2 linked regions of the Oryzias latipes genome follow. The protein of the gene in region 1 interacts with the protein of each later gene in a pairwise test. Links are inferred from orthologs where the notes say so. Each region holds a gene or a part of one and is shown on either strand. Other genes may lie near its edges.

Region 1 (3,757 bases):
TTTGCTCCAGAGATTCAACTGTCCGGCGAAGAGCCGTCGCCTCTTCTTCCGTCTCCTGGAGCTTCTGGCTCACAGATCTTTTGATGCTCTGAACGTCTTCCAGCATCTGGAGCATCTGTTCCATTTGGTCGACGTTTTTCCTGGAATCCTTCAATCTAAAAGTGACAAACTGCGTTTAACGTCACGGACCTGACTTATGGACAGAAGAGCCATCCGTGCTAACCTGAGGTCAGACAGCAAATCCTTTTCCATCTGAGCTTCATGAGGCTTTTCCTGCAGGTTCGTGATTTCTCTGTGAGAAAGACTTCTGCTTGTTTTTCCCACTTGAAGTGAAACAGAAAACTATGGGAAAAGACAGAATTCAGAAAACTGTTGATGACATTTATTTCTGTCAGACCTGGAATGAAGGACCAGACTATTGCCACACTTCTTCTTCTTCTGTCTTCCTGCGCCTTTGAGCAAAAATGGACGCTCACCTAGTAAACGTTTCTGACACCGTGAAACACCCAAGGAAAAAAAGAAAATAAGCGATGACATCACGGTGCGAGAAACTGTCAAAGAAACAAACTCAAAAAATAGCTCAAAACCCACAAATGAAACCAAAACACACACAAGTCGGAGATATCCGAAGACAGCTTTCAAACTATTATGGGATGGCCAGGGGACTTTTGTCTTGGTGGTCATTTTAGGTGAAATTTGGTGACCTTCACATTTTTTTCCACAATATAGGAAAAGGAACATTTTTGTTTGAGCAATCTTCACAAAATTTTACCCACGTCACCAGACGAAGTCCACAACCACAACCCAAGTTTGTTGACCTTTGACCTCAGGAAGAGGCCACCATCTGGAATTTTCAAAATAAAATAAAAATCACCTTTAGTACCTTCTATAAACGTAAACTCCTCCATGGGATTTTGATCCTATGGTCTCCTAACTCTTTGAGGATCACTGAGAAGATATTTGGGGATCTTTGCAGATTTTTGAACGTGGTTAGTGTGGCGACCTCGTAAAAGTGGCGCTCGCCTTTTGCTCGGATATTTTTTTACTGGAATATTGTGAAAATATGTTACAAAAATTCCTGGATCAAGCTGAAAGAAACAGTATAAACATAAAATATGAAAATATTAGGAACGTGGGCGGGGTTAACAAAAAACCTCTGTTGCCAAGGAAACCCAAAAGTTTACTTTTGCCGATTGTCCTAAAAATGACATCGACCTGTTTGTCACCCGCAGGCAACCAAAACAGAAATTAGTTGCTATGGAGACAAAACTAAACTAAACTAAATATGGACCTTGTTGAAATCAGAAAACTGTTGAAGACGCTCGTCCACTGGATCCATTCTGAAGGAGCCTCCTTCTTTGAGGGGCCCCTCCTGGTTCCAAGGAGGAGTCAGAGGCTCCTGAAGGGCTGAAAGACTGCCTGAAGCTTCAGATGAGTCGTCTGCCAAAAGAGCAAAAAGCTTTAAAAAGATATTGTTTCTGTGAGAAAGGTTGGTGCAAAAAGCTACAAGGAAGCTTCTGTATTTCCACAAAAATGTGAATTAGCAGACATTTTTACTGCAAATAATACATTTTTCTGGCTGTAACAGAACTTATGGACGGTATTTTTTTCTTTAACTATAGTCAGCGCATCTGTTTTATCATGACTAGCACTAACCATGGCAGACAGTCTGTGCAGGCGAGCATTTTCTGTAAGTGCAGCCGAACTTCTCCAAGGCCTCCCTGGTTTCTGTTTCCACCTCCTCCTGGAGTCTCCGAGTTTCCTTTGTGCGTCTGTCAAGCTCCTCACTACAAAAACACAAGTTTGTGCAGCTGTCATTCTTTAAAGTTTTTTTTTTTTCTGCAAAGGTCGAGCATTAGGTCCACTCTGCCATCTGAAAGCCACAGCGTGTATTTGCTGACATGTCTTCAGAGTTCAGTAGCTGCTTTACAAGCCAGCAACCAACTCCTGGAACTCCTGGACCGGTTGGTACTGGAAATCCAAGTCTCTGCGTTCTCCATATGAAAGTCTTGAGCTAACCTGTAGGCCACATGCAGTTTGGAGGTCTGAACTGCACAAATGACGGGGTTTGGTCACCAATACCTGGTGTAAGTGTGCACCCAAACTCTTCCACTTAGTTATATTATTACTGCCTGTGATAACATAAGGTAGATATTTTTCCACAGGACTTCTTGCACAAACAGCATTTTAAGTATTGGATGTAATACATTGGCAAATAATCCTCTAATTATAAAAGAACATTCAAGGAGAATGATTTTTTCCATGGCTTAAAAAATGTTGTTTTTACCTCAGTTCATCCAGAGTCAGACTGTTGAATCCCAGCCCAAGAGATGCGCTCTGGGTTCCTGTGGAAAAGAGCTCTTCGGGTTAGCAAAGGATCATGGGAAAAACGTCATAACGTCTCTACACTTACCAACTTTAGCTCGTGTTTCCTCTTTCGGGTGAAAGTCAGAAAGAGAAAAGTCCGGTGCCAGGTCCAAACCCTGATCTCCGGATGACATATTCTCTGCTTAAAATTTGACGCCAAAACCGGAAACACGAGCAAAAAAACCCCAGATTTAGCGAACAAGCCTAGCTAAAACGGGTTCCGTCACCATGGAAACAACATCCGCCCTTAGCTTTAGAAACCTGACCTTTACTTTTTCACCGGTCAACATTTCAGATGTTTTAAAGCTAAGCAAATGTGCTCAAGAGTTTAGTTTGTTTGTAACTCGCCTGTGAAAGTGACGCCGCTTCAGCTCAGAGTTTGAAAAGGACGCCAAAACTACTGACAGGCACCCGTGACGCTAGTGCGTCGCGCCCAAAGCATTGCATGATGGGTAACAGAGTTTATGTGATTCGGGTAGAGGGCGGGTGAAATTCCGTTCTCTCGGGGTGTCGCGCCCCGGTGGCCCCGTCGACCGTCTTGTTTTGTTTGTTTGTTTGTGTAAACACGTCGACGTAAAGATGATTTAATGATGTTCGGAACCTTTTCGAGGCGGTTCGGGTGTTTCACACGACGGAAGCGTCTCGGCGAGGTAAACCGAGAGGAGCGGATCTGTCTGTCCACTGAGGCTAGCATGCTAGCTAGCTAGCTAAGCCAGGACACATACCTGTCTGTCTGGGCTTCACATTGATTCTATTTCTACATTACATTGTTAATGCAAAGAACCTTTTCGAAACAACGTCATCAATTATGAAGCTTCGGAGAATTTAGTCTTTAAGCTAAAGGATAAAAAATTTCTGACTGGAGTCACATTTTCTTTCTTGCATATTTTCCACACACGTCAGTTTTTGTCTGGAAACCAGCATCATGTCTGCATACATACATGTGTTTACAGTCTGAGGTCAGCTGGTGATTGACCCCTACCCAGCTTGGACTCAAACGGTCACGTGGGCTCATCTCCTCAGCCTATAAGAATCATTTTTTGGTGACATTTCTCGTTGTTTTTCTTTGTGTGTGGCTGTTCTCCAGGATGAGGGATCTTCCTGGCATTGACAGTTTGCTCTTAAAAAAGCTGAAGGTATGTTGTGCCAAAGAGGACAGCGTTCTCCCCAGAGAGACGGGCCTGAAGCTGATGGAGTCCACTCCTGCAGAGGTGACCTACTTTTGCTTCACGTCTTTCTCTATTTCTTGCAGTGGTATAAATATGTTTCCATGTCCCCTCCGCCCAAAGAACTCCAGTGGGGTGTCTGCAAAGTGCCGGGACAGCCGGGTGGAGGAACTGTGGGGCCTGACCACTTTCTTTGGCTACAGCACCCAAACCTTTGTCCAAGC
Region 2 (3,657 bases), on another chromosome or scaffold:
GTTGGTAGTAGGTTTAGAGAAAGTTTTAACTCTTCATGGGTAATTTTGAACAAGATTTTTGGAGTTTGTTTTTTACAATCCTTCATCTCAAAATAAAATTGAAACATAACAAGCGAATATTTAATATAAGTTGAGAAAGTGTTTGTATTCTGTCCATCCTGAGGCTAAATAACACAAAGAATTTTTTTGTTCTATCATTTTTGAAATGGCGGGCAAATGAACCACAAACTCGTCTTATATAAGGAAGCAAAGAGAAGCTGGTCTGTCTGCAGAGTGTTTTACCCTTCTATGATCTTTAAAAGAATAATCCTCCTTTGGGCGAATACACACACCCACATCGCTGATATCTTTCTTTAGAGCAGAGCTGGCAAACAGATGCTTATTCAGTTTGCCTGCTTGTCTCCTCATATCACCACAGAATATCATAGGTCAATCAGCACCATTGGGAAGCCAGGAAAGATAAATGGACTTATCAAATAACAGATTTAAGCCTGAACTGTATGAACTGTGTTTTTAGAGCTTATTTTTCTGTGTTTTTCTGCAGGTGCAAGACCCAAAAGCACCATGAAAAACAGCACGGACAGTGTGGAACTGTGGAAGTACTCTTCAGATAAGGTGATACACGAGTCTAAAATGTTGGTACTCTGCAGAACGATGCCTATCAGTCTTTCGCTGACTAATTCTGTTACTGCAGAATGGTAATTGCCAAAACTTAGAAGGTGCGCCGAGAAGATCCAAGGGTCAGCCATGGCAGTCCGTTAAAAGAAAAGGCTGTTCGGACAGTCAGGGGTCAGACGAAAGGCCGTGGTTGGACTCTCCCGTAGATGCAGATGACATCACAGTCCTAGTCCCGCCTCCTGTAACTGTAAGATGTTTCTGCGTCTTTTTGTCGTGGTGCTTTAACTATCATTTCCATATGATGTCCAGATGGTCGCCACAAAAACTAAATCTGTTTAGTTTTGGTAACAATGAAAGAAATGTTTACCTCTAAAGCTTTTCATTGTTCTCCTCATAATGTAGCATCAGCGTTGGCTTTGCCGCTTTGTCAGATGAAGAGTTTCGTTTAACTTTACTCCACTGGAGGGAACCATTGACTTTAAATGAGAACTGGACTAACTGGGCATAAGGTCACCCATAGAAAATGACTTTCTTCATCAAAATGAAGCAATTACAGCCGCCATTTTTTCACGATTCGGACGGTGCGTGTTGGAACCAGACAGCGTGAGTAAGGAGAGAGGTCTGAGTCGATCTGACTCATCATTTCCATAGCAACCCCTCTCAACAATCAGGTGTGAGCCTGTTGGAAGTTCACACTCCTACCACTCGAAAGCGAGCTTAGGAAAATCTGTTTAACGTTACAAACGTTTGACTTGAGACCCCATGCTTTTATTGAGGCATCTGATTAGCCAGTTTATAACTTAAATAACTTGCAATACAGAAAAAATATCATGAAAATTGTTCCTGTTTGGAACACGAGGGAGGAGGGGTCACTCAGTCCAGTTTTTATCTAAAGTCAATGGAATGAACATCCGGACAATAAACCTTTAAAATATTTGAATCAAAGCTCTGCTGACAAAAACATCCGGTGAGCTGAATTCTAAAGGCATTTCCTCGATTATTCCCATGATTGCTGACATTTTTTCAAGCTCACATCTGAGTGGATATAAATACCAGCAACATCTTATTATGAGACCATGTGACTTCTGTAAGTGTTGTAATTAGCAGGCTGACAGGAGGAAAACAGCCTTACAGCAATTAATCCTACCAGATAAAGAAAGCAGGCCTCCATATTTTATGTTTTTATTGGTGATACAACTAAAACCTTGCTAAATATTTATGTGAAATTCAAAAGCATCAGGGATAATCCAGATATGACGTCTTTGATGCAGCTCGATTAATCATGTTTGAAAAATACTGGGATTAGACCTAATAGCTGGTTTTAAATCCCTTAAAAGCTTCAGTATTGTCGCACACAAAAATTGAAGTCACTTTTTCCTCTTTTTGAAAATGTGGGCTCTCTGGACTAAAAAAAGAAAAGAAAAGTTGTAATGCTTATAAAGCTGGGAAAATAGTGCTGGAACTTTTTTTTTTTTTTAGTCTGCACTGCTTCTTTTCCTACAGTTGTCCTTTGTTTCAAACCACTTACTTTCTTTACTTTCACTCTCCATCCCCCTCTTCGCGACCTCCTCATCATCACATGATCCTTTCTCTCGTGCTGTCACATTTTCCTACTTGATTAATTAGACTTTTCAGGCAGAGCAGCGGCGAGATCCACAAAACCGCCATTGAGGCCAAGGACGGCGGACAGCAATGGCTGCAACTCCTGCCTGATCACAATTATTAAAGTGCAGAAATAAGTGCTTTTTGTCAGTTGATCTCTGCTGCTGCGTTAGCTGTTAGGAAGCATATGTACTCCCAGCTGCCCTTGCAACCATGCTTTTTCCTCTCTCCCCTCCTCCGTCTACCCCCAGCTCTCCCTCCCAGCTGATAATGTGACCTTGATCACAGAACGACTACCCTCCCCACAGGGTCAAACGCCCATCTTCCCATAATGAGTTGTTTTCCCACAGTGGGTGAACAGGACAAAAATGGCCTGCCAGAGCGCCGCCGAGAGAGGAAGAGGGAGAGATACAGAGGGAGGGAGAGGGTGAAGAGGAGCTTAACAGGAGGGATGGGAGGTGCACATGTTACAGCAGGAGAGGGGAAGCAGGGAGCGCGATTAGTTGGTCAGTAAGGAGGAGAGAGGGAGGCGATGTAGACAGAGAAAGAGCAGCTCAGAGACAAATGAGAAATAGAAGGCGCTCTTTCTGCTGGTAAGAACTTTTCTTCACAATTTCGGACTAAAACAGACACGTGGTAAAAGATTTCATTGCTTTATCCTCAGCTTTTTGTACTCAACAGATTGTTTACTTTATAAACTTTCTTGACCTAAATTTAATCTAAAATTCTTTTCTGACTGACAAATACTTCATCTGCCCATCAAAAACCGATCAAATCTATTTCTGGCTTGGTGATATTTTGGCATACGTGAGGATAAATGTAAATAAACATATGCAGAAGGTTGATCAGCTTGTTGACAGGAAGGATTGTTAGTCTTTTCTTTGTTTTTTCATCATCTCGGAACTGTTTTTGTCCAAAAAAAAGAAAGCAATTGCAATAAGGTTCAACTTCCTGAATGTCGGAATACGGACAGAAGATTTGAAAAGTAATTCCTAAACCAATAACTTATTATTTATTTTTCTGCTCATAATTATCCAGACACTGCTTTCGGTTAGTGAAGCAGCTGTTTTGCCGTCAGGCCCTCAGCCTGCTTTAGGTGTCAGAATGAACTCCAACCACTGTTGGACTCAATATCTACAGAAAGTCTTTTTAATGCTGTTTTGAATCTAGTTGTGTGGCCAGTTTGATAATCTGGTGATGCAAAGACACGCAAAAGTAAATATGATGCAGATTTTATAACAAAGAAATCCTTTTATTGACCGAGATTTAGGTTGAATTATTTTATTGTAATATTTTCCTGTAAACTGATTTTGTGCTTACAGTAAAAGAAAAGAAAAAATAATTTTTACTTTTGTACATTTAATACCATAAACAAATACAAAATAAACTTTTTTTTAATTGTTTATGAAAATGAGTAAGAGTGATTTAAAAAAGAAG

What was found. The genes of interacting proteins can lie anywhere in the genome.
Region 2: the proteins of coiled-coil domain-containing protein 158 (region 1) and gpsm1 interact in a two-hybrid assay, tested with the Homo sapiens proteins (2 studies listed by BioGRID and IntAct). The link is inferred for Oryzias latipes from reciprocal best matches to the Homo sapiens genes CCDC158 and GPSM1.

What each region holds. Positions count from the first base shown.
Region 1 is NC_019867.2:1,915,608-1,919,364, forward strand, and holds the start of coiled-coil domain-containing protein 158, read right to left. Parts: upstream 2,735-3,757; 5' UTR 2,502-2,734; coding exon 2,414-2,501; intron 2,346-2,413; coding exon 2,288-2,345; intron 1,788-2,287; coding exon 1,657-1,787; intron 1,441-1,656; coding exon 1,292-1,440; intron 343-1,291; coding exon 224-342; intron 156-223; coding exon 1-155. Other genes in the region: cyclin-G2, read left to right, coding at 3,456-3,757.
Region 2 is NC_019870.2:10,829,176-10,832,832, forward strand, and holds part of gpsm1 (G-protein-signaling modulator 1), read left to right. Parts: intron 1-544; coding exon 545-615; intron 616-694; coding exon 695-865; intron 866-3,657. UniProt on the Homo sapiens protein: Guanine nucleotide dissociation inhibitor (GDI) which functions as a receptor-independent activator of heterotrimeric G-protein signaling.